Drosophila melanogaster: one gene and its partners. The protein of the gene in region 1 interacts with the protein of each later gene in a pairwise test. Each region holds a gene or a part of one and is shown in the gene's direction. Other genes may lie near its edges.

What was found.
Region 2: the proteins of E(spl)m3-HLH (region 1) and CG15365 interact in a two-hybrid assay, tested with the Drosophila melanogaster proteins (one large-scale study listed by BioGRID).
Region 3: the proteins of E(spl)m3-HLH (region 1) and CG6287 interact in a two-hybrid assay, tested with the Drosophila melanogaster proteins (one large-scale study listed by BioGRID).

The regions. Positions count from the first base shown.
Region 1 is NT_033777.3:26,019,197-26,025,528, forward strand, and holds E(spl)m3-HLH (enhancer of split m3, helix-loop-helix), read left to right. Parts: upstream 1-2,626; 5' UTR 2,627-2,823; coding exon 2,824-3,498; 3' UTR 3,499-3,931; downstream 3,932-6,332. Other genes in the region: E(spl)m4-BFM (enhancer of split m4, bearded family member), read right to left, coding at 4,839-5,297.
Region 2 is NC_004354.4:9,063,103-9,070,769, reverse strand, and holds the start of CG15365 (uncharacterized protein), read left to right. Parts: upstream 1-2,786; 5' UTR 2,787-3,262; intron 3,263-7,667. Other genes in the region: CG44325 (uncharacterized protein), read left to right, coding at 112-178; CG10970 (uncharacterized protein), read left to right, coding at 705-1,016.
Region 3 is NT_033779.5:11,150,047-11,159,211, reverse strand, and holds CG6287 (uncharacterized protein), read left to right. Parts: upstream 1-3,490; 5' UTR 3,491-3,610; coding exon 3,611-3,694; intron 3,695-4,078; coding exon 4,079-4,129; intron 4,130-5,647; coding exon 5,648-5,802; intron 5,803-6,657; coding exon 6,658-6,877; intron 6,878-6,940; coding exon 6,941-7,073; intron 7,074-7,185; coding exon 7,186-7,541; 3' UTR 7,542-7,706; downstream 7,707-9,165.

The DNA.
Region 1 (6,332 bases):
CAACTGCGATTGCGATTGCAGCTCCAACAGAGGCCAGCTTGTGCCTGGGCTTGTGCCTTTCAGCAACGGACTCTGGTAGTCGTTAGGCGATTCATACTCTCTCTTATATGGGTCTTTGGGACATATGAACATAGATTCAGGAAGATATGACTTTCATGATATGCTAGGAAACTGCTGTTATAATATTAATATTAAATATCATATGTTTACTTAAAATTTTTTAATTTACAGACTAGTACTAGTTATCTTAATGGGGACTTAATGTAATTTATTATATCTCTCAAGAGCATTGGCAATTCGCTAATCGATGACCCGTCAAGACTGCCTTTACCCATCAGCAACTATTTGGCTTTTAAGCTTTTGGTTCACACGACTGGCGATGGCAACAAGTTTTGTGCAAAACTATATATACATCGGCAGACAAACAGACGGGCATATATGACAAGCAATTAGTGTGCATTGAGGTTAGTCGAAAATGGTTTTGCGGTCTCTCTATTTCTGTCCATCGGTGTCTGCGTGATTATTTTGCATATTCGCATTACTCATACGCCACGTGTGCCGGTCGAGTTGAAAGTTGAGGCATCTTGAAAGGCGAACCATCGAAATGCCTTGAGAGTCTTAATTGTTATGGCTCCAGTCAGCAGAAAGGCAAGCCAAGTCAAGCCAAACGGCTAACGGAAGTCATGGCCAGAAGACAAACAAACAGAGCGATTCTGCAGCATCATGGGAAATGCTTAGCCAGGCAAAAAGCACGGCCACAAAAAATAACTCCGAGGCGTCCAACCACAAGTGTCATATTGCTGCGATGGTGATAAAGTCGGCCCAACAGCAGCTGTGAAAAAAGGGGCATAAAAAACAGGCAACATTTTATACACTCAGTGCTGACCAGTAGCCCTGAGATCAGCGAATTAAAAGAAATATGTGGAGGACGGGCGAAAAACGAATCTTAGAACGACAACCGGATGTTAAAGTTTATTACGAAAGGCGACAAATGCCGAAGGGTTGGTAATCGGACTATGCAAAAAGAGTTTTATTTCTTTCATTTTGGAACCCCCAATGCGCCGAGATAGCGAAACTGTTACACTTAATCGATACGCTTCAACGAAAAGTCAACCCACAGCCCCAGCCATAGTGGTGGTTGTGCACTGTGAGAAATATTTGAAAACTTAAAAAAAAAAACTGATTACATTTGAATTCGGTTATAAGTAAAATATCAAAATATATATATTTTCCATTCTTCCGAAATGGGGTGATCTATATTTATTGGTAATTAACATAGTTGCTGTTATTGAAATTGTTTCAAATCTACTTTAAACTCCCAAAAAGACCGCACATTTTGTCCACGTGCAGTTGTCGCAGTCATCATCATCAGCCAAGCATGCGACATAATTGCGCGAGTTAAGGCTGCCCCTCCACCCAGCCATCCCTCACCAGTTCGCCCACTGCCCCCCATTGGCGGCTGACAGTCAACCCGCTTGAAATCAACCAGCAGCAACAGCAACAACATTTCAGCAATCCATCGGATCGCATCACAATCCAGCCATCCGTCCAACGTGTGGGAAACACACGACAAATCTGTTTCCCACGGTCTCGTAAAGTAGGCACACCGCACACACACACAAACACCCATCCCCATCCACTGAGCCATGGGACCCACAATCACATAGGCTACTGCCTCGTAGGCTCCCTCGTGTCTCATTCTCATTGTTGGTGTGAGCGGTACGGAGCAGCGGACTTCGACAGCGAATGGGAGCCGAGCACTGTCATCATTGACAATAAGTATGACATGGATGAGGGGGGATGGAGGGCGGGGTGGAGCGGCCTGAGAGACACGCGCAGTCGCCGAGAATGAGATCCAATCCGAAAGCCGACTGTCGACTGCCGACTGCTCAGTTTCCCTCTGGCCATGCAATCAATTGAAGACGACGCGCGCCAGAGCACCAAAGCTGCAGATACAGATACATTTGTATCTGCGGCGGGGCACGCTCTCGCTCGCTCCCATTGCATGCACCTTGGTTCGAAGTCGACTAGTTTCGGTTAATAATACTAATTTTGGACTAATAGTATTACTTTCAATAAGCAGATTTTACGAAAATAATTGCAGTTTTATTAACTTTGTAAGTGATTAATATTTTTTGAAATTGCTTTCTTTCAGGTCTTAAAATTTAGCAAATTTTTAAATCGTCCTTTTGGTTGAACAATTATGTTGCATACTTTTGAGAGTCATATAAAAAATAGTTGTAGCAAAATATAAAGAACACAAATTTAACACTATTGGAAATGAAAAATATTGATATTATATTCGCATTGCTAAAATGGATTATTTCTTATTTTTTATAATAAGCATAATTAAGAAGGTAAAGAGTTCCATGGTGATGGTCCCACTGTACCCCCTGCAGACGGTACAACCCCCATCATCGATGGCCTACAGTAGCCTCTCTTTGTGCCGCTGCCGAGCGCCGCTACCGATCCGCGACCGAAAAGAACCGAAGTGGAACTCGATCTTGGGCCCGAGTGCCTGGGAGCGTGTGTGAGTGATCATGCGGGAGCTTTGTGGCCGGGAGAGCCTGATCCCCGTTTGCCGGGAGAGCGTGGCTGTCATATAAAAGTAGGGCTGGGAACTAGTTTGCCACTCATTTCGTAAAAGTGCCGCCACTCGAACGCACCGCAATCGGTGGAACGCGCAACGCACGCGCAACAAACTCGTCAAAAAGTAACCAATCTATGAAACCAACCAAAATCAGTAGTGATAATGTGCAGTTGAGAGACTAAATACAAAAGAACAATCCTTAAAATACACAACATAAAACAACCCAATCGATCATGGTCATGGAGATGTCCAAGACGTATCAGTACCGCAAGGTGATGAAGCCGCTGCTGGAGCGCAAACGGCGAGCCAGGATCAACAAGTGTCTGGACGATCTCAAGGATCTGATGGTGGAGTGCCTGCAGCAGGAGGGCGAGCACGTCACCCGGCTGGAGAAGGCGGATATCCTGGAGTTGACCGTGGATCACATGAGGAAACTCAAGCAGCGGGGTGGTCTTTCGCTGCAGGGAGTAGTGGCTGGTGTTGGCAGCCCACCCACCTCAACCAGTACCGCCCACGTGGAGTCCTTTCGCTCCGGCTATGTGCATGCTGCCGATCAGATTACCCAGGTCCTGCTGCAGACACAGCAAACCGATGAGATTGGGCGCAAGATAATGAAATTCCTATCGACGCGACTAATTGAGCTGCAGACGCAGTTGCTCCAGCAGCAGCAGCAACAGCAACAACACCAGCAGCAGCAAATACCGCAATCATCAGGCCGCCTAGCCTTCCCGCTGCTGGGAGGATATGGACCGGCAGCCGCCGCTGCCGCCATTAGTTACAGCTCCTTCCTGACCAGCAAGGACGAACTGATCGATGTGACATCCGTCGATGGCAATGCGTTATCCGAGACGGCGTCGGTTAGCTCGCAGGAGTCCGGCGCCTCTGAGCCCGTCTGGAGGCCCTGGTAATTGGGCGTGCCCAATATGGATCTTATCCCTAATATTATAATCGCAACCCAAAAAAATGGCTATTGACCGTTCTGCAACAAGATCCGTTGTCTTCCAAAGTAAATCATATCAACCTAAGTTAATTGAGGTCTAATCGATTTCTGAATGGTTTTGAAATACTTTTAGTTTTAGTTCCGATAATGGTAATTTGTAAATTAATTGTTTAATTTCAACTGTGATATAACTAAAGTACGTTGATCAATCAATCAGTGAATATATATTCGAGTGCGCTATTTTCCTACTCCAAAAGTTCCCTAAGTTTAATATCTCGTTGCGCTCTCTTTATTGTTTAGCATATATTAAGCTTTAAATAATTTATAAATGTTAATTTATGATTAGTTGAGAAAGAATAATCAAAAATACACTACCCAAATAAAATAAATGATTTAAATTGAAAACACAATGTTTTTCTTTTGCGGGATTTCAAAATTTTATAAAATATTTATTTTGTTATATTAATAAATATAAACAAACTGAACGATATTATGCAAACCTAACGGAATACTGTTCATTCTTGTCCCAGTCCGCCAATGTTGTTTACTGCCCCAATAAATTACCTTTAATTGAACATCACCTCAAATGTATGCAACACATTTTCGACTCGACCCTGATTCATTCCCATAAGCAGATCATCTAATTGGAGCCTGTTCTTACCACCAATCTGATCGGCAATCAACAGATCCTCTCTACCTGCCCGATAACTGGTTGGCATTGTGGTCCAAATCAACAGGCCAAACAACAACCGTCAATATGCACTACCTGCTGGCAGGTAAATTGATCAACAATAAGACCAAAAAAGGTTCAGGATCGAATCGGATTAGGGTCCGCTCGTTTTTCAAATGAGTCATGCCAATTAAGAAAGGACTTCGCTCCCCATTTATTTTCTGTGTTGATTTGTAAACGGAAAATTGTTGGAACAATAAGGGGGAAACAAAGAATTTAGATTCCTATTCAATTATTTTTTTTTTGGGTGAAATGTAACACAATTTTTGGTAAAGATTACCAATTTCCAAATGTGTGATTTAAGAGAAGGCCCATTTCATACGATTTATCAATGATTAAAAGTAAAAAAAACAGTGGTTGATTTCATTTAAATTGTATATATATTTTGATTTTTTTGTGTTTGTTAAGTAAAATGTATCACAATTTTTGTAAAGCTCTTCAGTTGAGTTGATCGGCTTGCGTGTTAATTTTTGTGGAATGGTTTCAAAAATTAACGGAAGACGTTGATTAAAGCTGGAGATCCAATGGAAGACATAGTTGCCGGATGATGGATGCAGGTTGCAGGACGCTGATATTTTTTAGGCCTGAACCCAACGATCCTGGGGGATAGCGATGGCGTTGGAGGTGCTGCAGTAGAGGGGCTCGACGAGGTCGTTGTCGGCTGGCAAATCGGAGACGGCGGTCCAGAAGAATGTGCCGTGAGCGGTGCGGACGAAGTGAACGGGAACGGTGGGCAGTTGCTCGAAGTCGTAGTCCTCAATTTCGCAGGACTGGGAGAGACGCTCGTTGGCCTCGTTCTCGCAGGACTCCAGAGAGGCGCAGATGGAGGCGGATTCCAGATCGGCGTTGCGGCTGTTTTCCATGGATTCCAGAGACTCCAAAGAGTTGGCCTTGAGGGCGTTCTTGAGGTTCTGCTCCTCCTCGACGCGCTGTTGCTGCTTGAAGATCTTCTGCAGCAGTTTCTTCACGCTGTAGGACAGCTTCTTGTTCGATTTGATGGTCATGGTGTTGTTGGTGTTGATCTTGTTCTGGCACATGATGATGTGTTTTGGAATTTTGTGTTTAGCTGCTGTGTAGCTGAGATGTGTACTGTACGAAGCGTTGAGCTCGAATGATGCCTGATCCTCCGAGCCAGGGTCCTTTTATACTCGCCAGGACGTGGAGAAACCCGAAGCCGAGCAGGTCACAAAACACCGAGTGTGGGAAACTACAAGGATACGTGTCCCGAAAAATCCTATACACAGTGCGGATACATGGCGAGGCAACAACAAAAACGGCAGGTGTGTTTTTCGAAAAGGGACTGCATCGGCATTAACCTGCGTGCGTCGGAGTGTGACGGCATGTAGTGTCGCTCCGCTCGCACCTGTTGAAGGTGCGGGCAATTTTATCCTGCTGCAGGATCGTGAGAAACGAGACTTTCTACCAGTTCCCACAGTTTCGGTTCGAAAGGATCCTTTTTGACAAGGAGATTCGTTTTTTTCCCTTTTTCTGCCGATCACTTTTGGTTTTTATGTGCACTTATCTCATTATGTAGGCAGTGCGAGCGGGACGGACAATGATGGAGCCGGGGGGCGGGGGAAATCCGTTTTCCATTTCTCGAACACGTGTGCAGCTCGAGAACGTGGGAGAATATTTTCAATTTTCAACGCTCGAACGGAGGCGAACAATTAATGCCCGAAACCAGAAGATAAAATAGCTCAATAGGCAAACAATCCGTAGAATTTGATGGAGTAGGGGGCACACAGATCCCAGACGAGGGACCAGGAATCCTTAACTGCGAGCATTTAATGCGCTGTAATTTGAAATTTATCAAATTGTATGTGGAGGCGAGGCGTTGCCCGAAGGAGCGAGATGGCAAAGGAGCTGGAGGACAAGGATCGTCGACGAAGGAGTTGCTTTTAATTTCTGTTGCTGATGGCACACAATTAGCAGGGGACCGATTCGTATTATGATGGGTAAAAAATATGTAAGAGGGAAGGAGGAGCAGGACCACGAGTACATCGTTGGAGGAGCACACGCACAGCGAGCGCCTGATCTTTTTTGTGTGGCTCCTTCTTCTTTTTTTATTTGTG
Region 2 (7,667 bases), on another chromosome or scaffold:
GTGCCACAAGCTTATCATAATTAAGCAATTTATATAATTTGTAATTATTTTTTTTTTATTTTTATCATCCGCATGACAACTCTGTGAAAAAATGTACATAAATATGTGCAGACGGCAGGAGGTGCCCGTTTTGGCGGAGGAGTCGAGGAAAAATAAAGTCGAGATAGATCGCTTTTAGGATGGGCCTGCTAAGAGAGATGCAAAGCATAGAGATACGGAGCCGCTGAGATACAAAGATACAAAGCTACAAAGATACTAAGATACAAAGATACTAAGATACAAAGATTCGGATGCACATACAAAACGCCAAAGACTTGAAACCGCCTTGTGATTTATATATTTACTTTTGTTTATACTTTGTATGTTTCTCTCTATCCCCTTTTTTGTTTTTATGTTGCTATTTACACATTTTTTTCTTTTGTTGTTTAACTAAAAACTTGCGCTAAGTTTACAAGAGGGTTTGTTTGTTTTGTTTTGTTTTTTGCTGGAAATGTAACCTGCTGCCGCTGATTTCTTGTGGCGATTATGGATACACGATAATTGGAGGCAATTACGATCGGATCTGGAGGTTCAAAGTCAGGGTCACAGAGCGCCGAGACTTTGCCATCAAGTCAATCGAGTGGTTGTGTGACCTTCGAAACTACATATTGTACACCCTGTTTTTTTTTTTTTTTTTTTTTTTGGCAAATTCAATCTTACTCGAGATGGCAGGCCAAAAGGAGGAGATCTTGTGCTGTGACTTTGAGGTGCGTGGCAGGGTGCCCAAGGATGCTTTCGAGCTGTTTGCACTGGTCCAGGCCAATGCACTGGGACTGCGGGGATTCATTGCCCAGGTGTCGGAGGAGAAGTTCAAGGGTCGTCTGGAGGGCGAGGGCAAGGTGATCGATGCCTTTAAGAAGCTCATCCTGGCCGCCGCCGATTACGTGCAGGCCATCAAGGAGTTCATTATTAAGAATCTGAAAGTCATCCAGGAATACACCTACAAGACCTTCGAAATCAAGGTGAACCTAAAGTGATTAAAGGATCAAACAAAATAAAATATTTCCAATGCATAATTTTGTTTAAAACGGCTATCAAAAGTTTTATCCATTATGATTTGTCTAATATTTTTGTTGTATGGATATAACAAGGTATTTTCCAAATAAAAATTACACAGTTATATAATCACAAATTCAAAAGAGTTTCCTAAAGAGCTGATTTATACAACAAGCAATTTCCCAAAGAGAAGAACCTGTATGAAAATGCCAAACTTTTCATGGGCTCATTGTGGATTGAATGATTATTGTTGCGATTGCTGGATCTGGGCAATTCTCCAAATGACCCATGGATTCTCACTTACGAGTACTCCATCGTTGGTTCTAGGACCCATTGCGATCGTGACGAATGAGCTAATGATGTCCATGATCCGTGGGAGGGGATAACCTTGTGGCCATCGCCGCCGGCGATCGGATATCAAATCGAATCGCATGCCTCGGATGCATATACTCGTAGTAAGCTAGCGATGTTCCCGGCTGTTTGGCATGCAAATCGAAGAATCTGATCGCCACCTCGATCGACACGATGAAGGTGTACCACTGGACAACAGCGAACATATAGCCACGGATGGTTATTTATGCGTTCGCGGATACAACTGCCGATTCACTGAGTTCCAGACTTCTCAACCAAATAGCACTGGTTAACAGGCCAGTGAGAAGTGGTAGATTTGAAGTTTAGTTTTTCTATATTAAGAAGATCATCTTAGTCGGCTAAGCACAAAACGTTACCATCTCAACACTGCACATCGGGGGGAATTATCAAAGTGTTCTTTTGTAGGCCAGTGTCGTGTATCTGCAGTGATATATGGACAGCTAAACTATCTTGGCTCAAGCAACGTTACAATTTTATGGGTCAATTTGCGGACGGCCATTACTAGAATTTGTGTGTGTGTGTGTGTGTGCAACAGGTAGCCAAGTGTGTTTTACACAGAGGAAATTAAAAAATCCTTGGTATAAAAATCCTTCCTCCTGAGAAATCTTAAGGTTCAAATATATTCCAGTGAAGAAACTAACCAAATATTAAATACTATTAAATTTTAAATACTATACTATTAAATATCAAATACTATTAAATATTTTAAAGAATTATCTGTAAGTAATACAATTTTCTCGCTGTGTATCTATGAATGTAAGCAATGAACCTATATGCGAAAAGCCACAAAATTGAGGGAAATTAACCTAGGCGGCGACTGCGACTTGGACTAATGCGGTTGCCGCGAACATATATGTTTATACATATGTTTGAATCCCAAGTCTGGATCCGAATCGGTATCCAAAATCAGAATTAGCCGCTTAATTGCAGCGCTGTGGCAACGCCAGCAAACCGGAAAGAACGGCGACAATGATTGCCAATCCGATTCGCAAGCAATCAGTGCTGACTGTACGTCATAACACCAATAGAAGCATAATTAGTATAATTATAAGTTATAAAAAGTAAAGAGTATGAGAAACAGCTACTACATTTAGTACACAATACATTGATCTTTTGGAAAATATGCTTATGAAAGTGATTGAATCCTTAGCCAACAAGTTAAATAACTGCATGAATCTCTAAAGTACAAGTTATATTCTTCAATTTTCAAGTAATTCGTACACATAAACGTTTGCAATCGAATGAGAATGTCATTTCGAAGATGACTCTTTTTTTTATAAGCTTTTGAAAAAAGCTAAGCTCTCATCTCTGATCGCCGGCGCGCCGCAGTCGCGTCGCAGTCGCCGTTCGCTGCTTCCAATTCCGACGCTCTGCAGCTCAGTTTGCTTTGAGCGCTGGAACGCGAAAGTCGTCGACGGAGGGCCAACGTTGCGGATGAAAGTTTCGAAGCGAACTGGGAAGATTTTTGAAAAGCGCAGGCGTGCAACGGTTTTTTTTTTTTAGTTTTTCTTTTTTTTTTTTGGGGGGGTTTGGGCTACGCTTCGCGGCGAGCGGTGAATGGCAGCCTTTTTTTCGAGTGTGGTGGCTGAGTGCAATTCAAAACGCATTTCGTGCATAATTTGTGGAATTTTACGCGTTGTAAAATCAATTTCATTGTGCAAATTTGAAAACTTGCCTGCTTTCCGTTGGCTTTCAGCGGCAACAGCTGAAATATAATGCAGCCACATCAAGCGGGCAAGCAATAAACAAATATCAAAAAAAAAAAAAAAACCAAGAAAATTTACAAAATATAAAAACACACACATTTGAAGAGTCAACAACAGCGATTACAAGGCACTAAAAACCAAAGGAAGAGGTGAGCAAATATTTCCATTCATTTGTTATTCTTTCGTTGGGCTTAAAATATTTTCGTATTTTTTTTTTCTTGTTGCTGTCTGATTTTTCGTTTATTTTGGTTTCGCTGATTTTTTTAATTCGAATGGAGTACACAGAAAATAATAGAATATGTTGAAAATTGTAAGATTTAAACATAATAATATATTTATTATGTGGCATTTGAAATTGAAAACGTGCTAAAATCAATTTGAATTCGACCTGCCTAGCTTGATTAGAACAAAGTAGTACATGCTCTTTTCGCACAGTGTGCCTATCCCAGCTGGCTCACACACACACAGGCACACGCACAACCTCTTTAAAGTTGTCGCTGTTGTTGTTGTCCTCATTTATCTGGACTCAAAGAGCTGAAGTTCGGAGTCGCGGACTCAAAAACTCTGAGCCGTCGTCTTCGATTATTGAGCCGTTTGACTTTTTCCCAACTGCCAGCGAACCTGTTGGCCCCACAGGCAAAAAACAAAAACTACAGCGAAAATATATACGAAACTGGTGAAAAAAGTAGATATATATACATATATATATATATATATATGAAAAAAAAAGATGAAAAAGATGCTCTGGTCAGCCTCTAGAAATAAGCAAGTATCTGTCTTTGAGCTCTTTTCTCTTCTCAATCTTTTGCTTTTTTGCTTTTTTTTTACACTCGTAAAGCCCATAAAGTGCCGCATATACTTGACCTATCCGAAACTGCGGGTTCTACCCGGGGGGAATGGATAATGGATAATGGATAATGGATAATGGATAATGGTCGCCGAAGTGGCCGAGTTGCTTACTGGGTTGGGTTGGCCAGTTGCACTTGGCCTTAAATCGCTTTATTTTACCTGGAAAATCTCTAATTCGTTCCGACGGAATTCAGCGATTTTATGTTGAAATGTCAAGTGCAGAAAAATAAAGTGGTTCTAATAAATATGCAAGTGAAATACATAGATCACTAACAATCCCCTAGATACCTCTTAAAAAACGATCTTTATTTTAAATATACTCATATATAAAGTTTATGAATATCCTTAGTGAATGCAGTAAACAGAAGGCAATATAATATGTTTTTGTAAGTGAAATACTACTTATTTAGAATAATATTCTATAATATATTTGACAAAGACCTGATTTTTTGTTCACTGTGCAATCTGCTTTTGGGTTGAGAGCAATTTTCGTTTGGATTTGGCCCCTCCTCGAGGCCCCTTTAAAAATTATTATTATTACTCTGCCGCATCATTATCGCCGCGCTTGAAATCTAATTTCTGCCCCGGCCACAATTTGCCACACGATTTTGTTTAGTTGTGTTATGTTTTGTCTTATTTCATTTTCTTTGTTGCGAGCCCCAAAGGAATTGAAAGTGCGCGCGCATGCGCAATTAAGGCCAAGTGCGCGCAAAAAAATATATATACGAGTAAATTCACAAAAAAACACACAAACGTCAACTGGCAGGAAAAAATGAAAAACAAAAAAAAAAAAAAAAACAAGAAATGAAAAAAAAAATAACATAAAAACAGGGGATCGTCGGCGGAGGAGGCTGAAGGCTAAAGAGCAGAAATTCACTTTTTAGTTTCGTGAAAAAAAAAACACACAACAGAACCCAGAAGAGAGTACCACATACCCCCCATCCAAATAAAAGGAAAGAAAAAAGCCAGTTGGTGAAAATCCAGCGCATACAGGTTATAAAGATTTATGATCACTTTTGATACCGTCCGCCGTCCACTCGGCCTTCCAATGTAGGTGAAGCTCAAGTGAAAGAAGATAACGTGGCTTAGTGCAGATGAAGCTGGCTCGGAGCGACTGGGCCACGAATGTGGCCACAACGCCATATAGCCATATAGCCAGCCAGCTATGCCCACTTAGATTCAGGTCATCAACGCCGGCGGGCCATTGAGAAAATCGCGATTTCTTCGAGGAAATCCAACTGAACAAGAGCATCGATAAATGTATTAATTAATAAGAGTAATGGCAAAACAGTTTAGATTTAATTAAATTGAAGTACAACCTTAGTTTTGGTTAACAGGATAACTACAAACAATATTATTTGGCAAATAATTAAAAGTGTCTCATTAAGGCCTCAATCAACACTTCAGTTTATTGACAATGATTGATGGGCCGAATTGCTTGAGGAATGGGGTCAAAACTATTGATTTAACAACATATTCGTTACATTCATGTTATTTGCTTTTTGGTATAAGTATATATTTTTTTTGTAATTATGTATGCGCAATTAGGTAATATATGTCATAAAGCATAGATAAATGAACCTAACCTTTATTCGAATGAAATATTTTACACCCTCGTTATACAAATATCTATTACTCATAATAAAGGTCACGCTCCTGTTGTTTTATTGCCCGCACAATCTGCTTTTTATATAGCCCCATTTTACACATAGTTATCCATCGTGATTCATTTGATTGAATCGTGTTGCAATCATTATGCATTCAAACAAATAGTTTCCACTTTGTATGCAATAGTTAGCCAATAGATCACTTAATGGCTTCTTAATTGGCAGTTAACGCGAAATTGGCAGCAAAAGTAGATGTGCAAGTGTGTTTTTTTTTTAGATTCAATTCTATCTTGTTCTATCAAAAACTCAAGCAATTTGGAGTTTATTCACATAAATTCACTGAGTGAACTGCGTACTTCATTTGAATATAAAGCGTGTGTTCAGTTTTTTGCTTCACTCATTAGCTGAAATATAAATTATATTAGTTTCAACTGCTATTAAACAACATTTGTTTGCCTCTTCCATCAAACTGTAAATCCTCACTCTTTCACTCACTGCACATTCATTAAGTTGAACTTCTTATCGCATTGCATTTAATTACTCACTTCGCTAACAGATTTTCTCACCATTCATTTGCTGCATTAATTCATGTTTTTGCATTTCCCCCCTTAAAAAAAAATTAAATGTATATACATACGTACATATATCTTGAAAGCGAGAAAGGCAAAAAAAAAAAAAAATAATAATAATAAAAAAAATAACAATTACCAAGGCAGATAACTCATTAATAACTTGCATGGCAAAAGGTATTTTTAATTTTGTTGCCGAGCATTTTTTGTTACGGTTAATGTTGGAATAACTATTCATGAGACTTAAACGGGTTACTGCTGCTCCGCTCGTTGCTTTCTACCAGCCGACAAATGAACAAAACCATACAAAAATATCACAAATACACCCACAGCGTAAAATCCAAATACAAATCCAAATCCAAGACCATCCATCCATCCATCCATCCAACCAACCATTCAACTATCCATCTATAACTTTTGGGGTCTTTCGAGTGTTTTTTGAATGGCCCGTGAATGCGGGCTGCCAAAAATCGAGAAAAAAAAAAACACAAAAAATAACACAAAAAACTAACTCGAAGAATGGTTATTTGGAGCTCTTTCGCTATATATAGCAAACCGAGTCGGCTTTGTAGGCCCAATTGACCTTAAATTATTGCCCTAGCGTTGGCGTAATGTTTCAAAATTCTCGCATAATACATATACTTAAGGTGAATACTTGGGCCCAGCATATTTATTTTGGCTTTTGACCACATTTGGCCAATGGCCAATGAAAAAAAAAAAAAAAAAAAACATGCAAATCGGGTTTTTATGATACATACACTGTGCTGTTGCCTTTCGCGCTTTTTTTTTCGCTCAATTAACCTGCGATATCCGGCCAGAAAGCAACCCGGGCAATTACAAATGCAGAGCAGCTCCAGCTCCACATCCAAGTGGTCGTCATGCCACATGCCACTTGCCACATGCCGCATGCGAGCTTTCACTGATCCAGCCAAGCACAACTGGGCAGTTTGGATCGGACTCTGATCCTAGATCCAAGATCGCACAATAAAAATCCAAAAAAGAAGCAAAAAAAAAAAAAAAGAAAATAAATAAAAATAAAATAAAAAGAAAAACGTGGGCGAACTTTCCCACGTCCAAAGATTGCGGAGCAGCTGCACAGTGCGAAAAAGGGAGGGCAGTAGTATATGAAAAGAAGCTATTTATACATATATATATATATATATATATATATATATATATAATCAAACCGAAAAGCACTTGACGACTTTCTTTGAAATGAAGAAATCTGTTGGGCTGCTAGAAATGCAATGTCTTCTTTCACTTAGTGTGTATTTAAAACAACCAAATGTTTTTTCCTGCACAACAAAGCTTCGTCACGCTCCAATGTGTTGATTTGGAAGAAAAAAAAAAAAAATTAAAAAAACAGCAAATACACAAAAAACCCAGGCAGATACACAAATTTCACAAATATCAATTGATGTGTGGCGGCGGCGTTACTTCAGCATGTTGCTCCCGGGTGCGAATCAGCAGCAGCATCTGAATCTGAAACATCACAAGCATACCAAAACATCACAGACTTCAAAAACATC
Region 3 (9,165 bases), on another chromosome or scaffold:
GCGGGAAAGCAAGTGCAGCAGTGCCAAAACACACGACACATTTGTAAATGTTCCATTCGATGATCAGATCAATTTGATAGATACAGCGACACAGATACATCCACACACACAAACAGAAACACACACACACAAAGTAGCTGGTTAAAGTTAAAGTGAGCGTTAAAGTGGCGGTTAAAGCAAACCAAAGGAAGCAGCCCAATGCCAAGTGGGGCCTTATGTGTCTTAAATGCTATAGCTAAGTGTAATCAGATTTTATTTGAGTAATGTGAATTTAAATTAAATGGTCTAAGCCTAAGATTTAAGCTAGTCGACAGTGGGAAATTAAAAGTTAAAAGAAAGGAGTCCGAAACCAAAGCCAACAGGATTTGTTGGTCCCCAAATGGGTCTCGTATTTGTTATGCAATCGATTGACTAAGTACATGAATAAGTGTCAGCTTTAATAATTTAGTGAACGTGTCTTAATCTAAGTCGAGCCACACAAACACACCTCCACACACTCGACACACACACACACACTCTTACACTCTCAATTGACTGTGAACCGATTGAAATCTCTTTAATCTCAAACCGATACCTATTTCTCGCATCCAGCGCTTTTCCTTCTCTACACAGAAAAATTTACACTTACAGTGCGTCTCAAAGCCATATGATCATGAGTTGAAATTAATTGATATATCCATAATGTATTTATTCTATAATTTTGAAAGCTTAAGCTTGAAGTTTTTAACTGAATATTTCTTAAATACGGCCGTACATCTAATACTATCATTTTATTAGTTGTTAAACATTTGTATTATATATCTTGAATGAAACGCATTGTACACAATTTCAACTTCCAACAGCAATACTTTCGACCTAGATACCTTGCCACACCATATCATGCCACACACCTGCCAAAGCGCACAGTTCGCGATCTCAGTTCAAAACTCAAGTTGAACTAGCCGCGAACGGGCCTGCAACCTGGATAAGGATCGAAAATCGATTCAGGTTTAGGTATAGCGATTTAAACTACCAGTGCCTTATAAATCCATCAAATCGAGTTACACGACAGCACTCCACCCCAGATATTCTGCATTTCCGCCGCCCCATTAGATCATTATTGACCACCACCAATCGCTAAAGTCGAATGCGTCAAAATTATTGTTCAAGTTTTGAATTGTACACGTAATGTTGAGACGATAGTCGTTGATCTGGCCCATTCCGAACGAGCACTCCTTTTACAATTCCAACCACCATGCTAAATTTGTCGATCATTAGTTGTCGAACTGAGCTAGCGCCCAACAATGATGAACCGCACTGCATTCAAATCGATCGCCACCACCTCGAGTAAGAGTCGATGTTCAGCTAGTTTTGATCTGTAAGCACACCCACAGAACCCATCCTACTGTCCAAGGACAACAGCTGAATCCTGTAACACGGGGTCAGAGTTTAGTGACAGGTCGGGCAATTTGCCCGCAGAAAAAATCTAGTACTTTTTTATATAAGAGATACAAGGTGATATAACTAATTTTCAGAAAGTAAATTTGAACAGCGCACGACAAATACAGATACCTAATTGAAATTGTTAGCCACATTCAGGAGAGGGAGGGTTTAAAAGGTCAGATGGGAGAACACCTCCCATCCCCTAGAGAATTTGAATGGGGTTGACCAAGGCACTGGAGGCGCTTTAACGAGGAACAAATTGAAATTTAAATATATAACGGAACGCAGCAAACGATACACAAGCACTTCTTGTAAAAAGTGGCAAAGCAAAATGATCTATGTATTAGCTAAACCTAAATGAAATATTACTTTTTAATACTAGCATAAAGTTAAAAACAAAACTAGATACGATCCTTTGCAGCTAAGAAGGGGACAAGCGGAAAACTTAAGTTTAAATGGTCAGTTGATGAGAAGTGTGTATGTTAGAATATTGCACATAATTCACAGAACTGGTAATTCAATATATTATAATGGTATATATTAAAAAAGATACACACATTTATAGAGCTGCATATATAAATATGTATGTATGTTCTTGCCATAATTAACAAAATTTAAACCGATAAAGATACATCAGCCGGCATTTTGTAAGCGTGAAATCCAAAAACTAATTAAAATAATATTGATTAAAAAATAACTGATTATCCCAGATATTGTTAGATACTTTCTGGTAACGGAAAGGTGAACTTTGCCATGAAAATTTCATCAGATCTGATAGGAATATGTTGAAGATATTTTGTAAGATGCCTTAAATTTCTCAACTCAAGTTCTTTGAAAGTTTTCGAAAACTAAACTTGATAAATTCATATATTCCATTACATAACCTTCTAGCAGACGGACAGAGGTCTGCAAAGAAGTAAAACTGGTTTGCTTCAAAAGTATAGCAATTTTTTTGTAATAATAAACTCTTATTTCCGATTATAATAAAACAAATGAAAACCAAACCAAGCAATTTCGATTTGTTGACACTCTTGAAAACTATAAAAAAAAAACACAAACATACAAACAAGTTTTATAGCAAGCATACTGAAACTTTAAAGATACGCCTATATATAATTAAATTTAGCGGTAATAACTTCTCTACTTTTCAAAGCCACTTAAATAAGAAAAGCAAACCTTATTTTTTTAGCCTAAATAACTTATTGAACTGGAATAGAAGGTGGAAAATTTGACAAGAGCACGCATGAAATTTCCGTAATCAATATATTATTAACCAAAGATCCCCACACCGAATACCCTGGAAAGATAAAAATGAACTATTGGTGGAAATATCAACACCGCTCCCAATTTATATAGAATATTTTATACATACAAAACATATACATATTGTAAAAAATGAGAAAAACGGTAACTAAAATCCAATCAGCAATTTTCAAAAATTGTATGTAAATAGTTAATGATATTTCAATTTGTTACCTAATTATTTTGTTAACAACTTTGTAAGATTCCTTTAATTTAATGTTAAGGATGAATACCTGCCATCACCTTGACGACATTTTGTTGTTTTCGTTTTCATTTTCCGCATTCAAATGTTGTTCACAATATGTTTTTGGAAAATACGTAGTTAAATGAAAGCTAAATTGCAAATAAAAGCAAATACAATAAAAATATTAAAAATAAATGCAGTCTTATCTATTCGGCGTGAGTTTGATTATATGGGTAAGTACTTTTTTTTGAACCCTATTAGAAAGTAAATAAATGCATAATACAATTAAAGTTAGAAAGCTTGCCATATTTTTTTACAAAAGCTGAAATTTTTAAATCATTTTTAATCACAGGGTCGTCCGTGGGTTAAAATTGTTGTTTTGCGTGCAAAAATCGAAAACAACTCACACACGCACACTCAAGAAGAACAAATCGCGCGAGAAGAAGGAGAGAACTTTAAGATCCAAGTGGCGCTCTCCGATCCTCTCAGTGGTTTGGTTATCACCCAGAAAAAACAACAATCGCACTGCACCGGCGAGAGGCATTCGAAGTCAGGTTCGATGGCCCGAGAAACCCACTCTCGAAGTCAGTTCAATTTGTTTGCTCGGCGGCGCAGATCGTGAGTTGCGGAAAGTAATTGGCAAAAATTAACGCAATCTACCGGTTGTCCAGATTTTTCAGTGTATTCATTACCCACCCAAATATGCCCCTCAATATAAGAAAAGTGCTGGTCTGCGATGCTGTGGACAAATCCTGCGTGGAGCTGCTGGAACAGCATGGGATTAAGGTAAGGTTCGCCAATCCCCTGACGTGACAGTCGATTATTTGTTGGAGTAAGCAAAAGCTTACACCCATACAAGTGCTCAAAAGTACAGTGCGCCCTCGGATAAAAATACAAATAATTAAACTAAGTATAACCACACAAAAAATGTTTTTTCGACGAAAACTAACACTAAAAAGATATTAAATATTTGAAAGTCTATGCCTACAATGCAATTCATTTAAATTAAGCTATTCGATTGCTTTTACTTATCGAGTACACACTGTATGTGAATTTGCAAGCATGTAAAAGCGCTTAGAAGTGGACAAATAGAAAATAAGTGCATTTAATTTATTGCACAATTTAATCAACGTTGTTGACCATATATTTTCCTTCTTTTTTTTTGACAAGGTTACCTACAAACTAAAGCTCCCCGTGGAGGAACTGTGTCAGGAAGTTAAGGTAAGTGGCTTAGGGATTTCAGTACAGGTAAATAAGTAAATACATACACACGTTCAGATGTATATGAACGAGTTAAGTCGCTGGGATGAAAGCTTTGCGAATGATTCAAGTGTGGTTAAAAACATGTGCAACGCTCTGAGATATGGGTGCATTGTATATGTGTGTGTACATATATGATAGTACGCGTGGGCGTTACATAATAATAACATTTCAATTAGTCTGTAACTAAGCAATCTAAGCACATCAAACCGAAAGTATATTTCAAAACTACTGCAGTATGGAGATTGTATTTAACAAAATTAAAACTAATGATAAGGAATTGACCCCTTTTTTTAACATTATCATCTTTGTTATGGAATATAGAATGTTTTTACAAATCTTATTTTCCTTGTCTCCAAACTTTAAGCCTTATTGGGTTAATGGCTAAGAGAATATTTTCACCGCAGTTATAAAGATAAAATAAACAAAAACTAGAAAAAAACATTTTGTGGCTTCTTCAAATCAAAATCAATTACTCTCATAATTTATTTAAATTTGTTTTCTCTTGCACGAAAACAGCTTTAAATTTTGACAAGCATGTTTGTCTCAATTAGTTAAACCGCTTCATGTCTGTATGGGCACGAATGCATGTTTTGAATTTTATTTGATTTAGAGACGGATACTTTTAATTGGTGATTTTATTGAATAACATAAAAGCAAATTGCAAGGGTCAGAAAATAAGTACTTGACAACAAATTTTTTTTCACGTTCGCAGAGAGAAAAAGAATTTAGTCTGAACCAAATGGTTTTTATACCCGTTAGATTCTTTGAAATTTATGTAACAGGTAGCAGGAAAGCATATAAAGTATTATATATATATTATTGATTAGATTCATTGGCCAAGTCGGTATGTCCGTCCTTCTGTCCGCCCGTCTGAACGCAAACTACCACGCCCACAATTTTGACAATTTCTATCGATATACCAAAGAATTTTTGTAATTTCGCTCGTTCGCACTCCCACAAACCAAATAACGGGTATCTGCTAGTCGAGTATCTCGACTATATTATTCTCTATTGTTCATTTTAAACTGCCCAGCATTTTAAACCACTTTTCGAAATGCACTTTCAGATTTTATTCTACAAAATAAAAAAAACTATTCCTTTTAAATGGCAATAATCTGCTGTGAACAATTGGGCCAGACATTGTTATCACCATTTATTACTATCGGTCCAATAGTTCTTATCAATCAAACGGCCGATCAGACGATGTTGCCTCAACATTAAATAAATTGTTTCCAGTAGGATCACAAATTGCCGGAAAATATCAAGAGGTTCAATAATCTTAGCCAGAAACATACATACGCCAGACGAATTGCTTTTATTTATGATAAAGTACAGGTGTTAGGTGGTATCAATCACGTTTCCAGAAGAAAGCAGTAATCGATGCCATCCAGATGGCCAGGGAAATGAGTTAGGCAATTAGATGACAAATATTTATATTTACCCAGTTGCTAATTATTAAATTACACCGCATTTCAGAATTTCGACGCAGCCATCGTTCGTTCGGATACCAAAATAACCGCGGAAGTTTTGGCCGCCGGATCCGGCAGCCTGAAGGTCGTTGGCCGTGCGGGGGCGGGTGTTGACAACATCGATGTTCCCGCAGCCACAGCGCAAAATGTCGTTGTCCTGAAGTAAGTGCTCCGTAAGCCTCCGGTGCATTGCAGGGCGGGAAAAGAGTAGCCACGAACACTATGCCACAAGACCAACTTGTATTTGTAGCTGAAAGTCTGATATAGAAAGTACAAACAGTACAAAGTACTTATTTATGGTTAATTAGAGCTCTTGCCATGCAATATATTTCATGGATATTTTACCATTCTGTTTATAGTTCAAGTTGGTAAACAATTCAATCCATTTTCGGCTCCGATTTCATTTATTTGCATTTTTAAACAGTTTCTAATTTATGGAACGAAAATATTAATTAGTTGTTCTCGGAAATGAATTTATGTAGCCCTTTATGGCAGATTTATCAATTGCGAGGAAATATTACTGTTCAGTAAAATTGTGGTAATCTCAATAATGATCATAAACATGGGTATTCAAACTAGCAGTGTTTTATGGTATGCAGCGTAGTGTAATCTCCGATGGCGCAGCTCACAAATAATTATGCGCATTCCGAATCGCAGGATTGGCAGTTGATATGCCATCCCAGCCCAGAATACCCATGACTTGGGTCAATTGACGCCGTTTGACACGCATAATTAAGGGACGACGAGTGTCGATGGAGTTGCGTGGGTGTTTGGGTGGCTATGGGTTGTGGGTGGTGGGTGCTGGGTTGGCCACATCCATGTCAGATGTCCTGGAAAGCTGGAAAATTGCCATATTTCCCACCTCCCATTCAATTCTTTTTTGGCGGAATTTGCATAATGCTGTCTAGTCACAACAAACGCCACCCATTTGCCCACCAGAAACGCTCAACTTAGCGCAACAGCTAGTGTCTAGCGAGGCATTTAGGGAATGTTTAACTAAACTCTCGTCGCTTTCAGCACTCCGGGTGGCAATTCCATTTCGGCCTGTGAGCTGACGTGCATCCTAATTGGCTCCCTGGCCCGTCCCGTCGTCCCCGCCGGTCAGAGCATGAAGGAGGGTCGCTGGGACAGGAAGCTCTATGCCGGCACAGAGCTGTATGGAAAAACCCTGGCCGTTCTCGGATTGGGACGCATTGGACGCGAGGTCGCCATTCGGATGAAGACCTGGGGCATGCGGGTGTGTTTTGAATGGGGTATTTACTTATTTTGGAATTTTAATCGAACTCTGAGTGCTTTGCAGATTATTGGTTACGATCCCATCACCACGGAGGCTGAGGCCAAGGCGGCGGGCATCGAGAAGATGACGCTGGAGGAGATTTGGCCACTGGCGGACTACATAACCGTGCACACGCCGCTGATCCCAGCCACCAGAAGTAAGTCGCGCATTGATAGAATATTTATAAGAGATTAAGAGATTAACATTTAACAGCAGTATGCATAAAATTCAAGCTAAACTATATAGATTTCTTTGCTGAATCCCATCAGATCTCATATCGGCGGAGACACTGGCCAAGTGCAAACAGGGCGTTAAGGTGGTGAATGTGGCCCGGGGCGGCATCATCGACGAGCAGGCCGTGCTCGATGGCCTTGAGAGCGGAAAAGTGGCCGGCGCGGCCTTCGACGTTTATCCCGAGGAGCCGCCAAAGTCTGCGGTCACCAAGGCCCTCATCAGTCATCCCAAGGTGGTGGCCACGCCGCATCTGGGCGCGAGCACTTCGGAGGCGCAGGTCCGTGTTGCCGTGGAGGTGGCGGAGCAGTTCATCGCCCTCAATGGAACCTCGCCGAAGTACACCAGTTATGCGGGCGTTATTAACAAGGAGGCACTCGCCCATTACCAGTGAAGCAAATCGAATATTCACAACCATCAGCACATTCTAAATTCGATATTCAGCATTTATAAATAAATAAGTTTACAACCAGGGATGTAAACAACGTAAAAACCAAAATACACAAGTAAAAATAAAAAGAAGAAGAGTTTTCTTAAAATACTCTCAGATCTAAATATTTATATATGTATATTATTATTCCTAGAAAGTTACCATTTCAAGGTATCGAAATGCTACAAGGACTTAGACGAAAGCTGACTTGTTTTCCGAATTTCGTACTACCGTTTTGTATTTTGATAAAAAAAAATCAAGGCTTTTACCAGAAAGCAAGTTTAATGTTGATTTTACATATAGCCATTCAAGGAAAAGCGGAGTTTCAGTGAACTTTCCTGCCAACTTTTGTGTGTCATAATCTTCAGCATGTGCGAATACGTTCAACTGAACCAACATTGCCAGGTGAAAGTTCATTTATGGCAAAGGCACCACTTGATATTCTTAAACAATTTAACAAATTTAAAAGAGACCAGTAGTATGATACTTATTCTGATTCAATTGCAGCAGCTTAATGGAAAAGCGCTCCATTTAAAGAAGAAATTCATAAATTCTGCAACAGAATCACACAATGGGAGCTCATATAATGGACAAAAATGTATATGGAACTGTGAATTCTTTTTCCCTGGAAATGAGGAAGATATTGGCAAATAGCAATAAAAGAATATTTCCTGGCTGAAAATGGTTTACTTATTGAATAGCTGTAGCAATTTATGACAAATATACGTGATTTATGTGGTGAAAATAGCTTTGGAAAATGAAAACGAGACAAAATGGTTGTGAAATGAAATATTAAGTGATGTTAAATGTATTAAATCAATTGCGGAAGTGCAAGACCCATTTTCGCTTGTCCTGTCTTCATTCCAATGCAAAAGGAACTTATTCTGTCAATGCATAATTTACGACACAGGAAGTGCCAATTCCGTATTATTGTATGCAAACGTGAAGTTTCACAAGATGATATGAATTGTCATGGCTTCTCTGGACAACTCATAAAAGGAGTAACGTGCCATTGGAAACTAGGAGAAGTTAAAATTAAATTTTCATTTCAATCAGCTTATATGTCGGCTTAACTGGAATCAAATTGTGAGTCGGCATTGAAATTGAACTTGGACCTTTGGAACACGCAAAAAACAAATAGAAGGTGAATATTCAAATACAATGTGAATGGGTGTATGGTTACACTTCGATATGCCTAAGTACAATTACACTTGAAGAAATATGTGATACACATATATGAAGAAAAACTTTTAAAAACTAAAATTTATGTGTAATACAACTTTTATTATTATCCGTTAAAGAGCATGTGCTCTTAGCAATGCAGTAAAAATACGTCTTCGCAAGTACTTATGGCATTACAACGCTGTTCCGCACTGTATCGCAAATTAATTTAGCTAATTACTTCTCACATGGCATTACAAATGAAAGACTAAGACAGGTGCTAAGCAAACGATAGCCTGTGTTGTGAGGGCCCGTTGAGAGTTCTAATGGCTTCTTAAATTGGAAATCGAAACCAAAGGAATGGAGATATTTGTCAAAACGTAATTAATGTTAACAGGAATAACCTCTATTCAAAATAAGTCTCAGG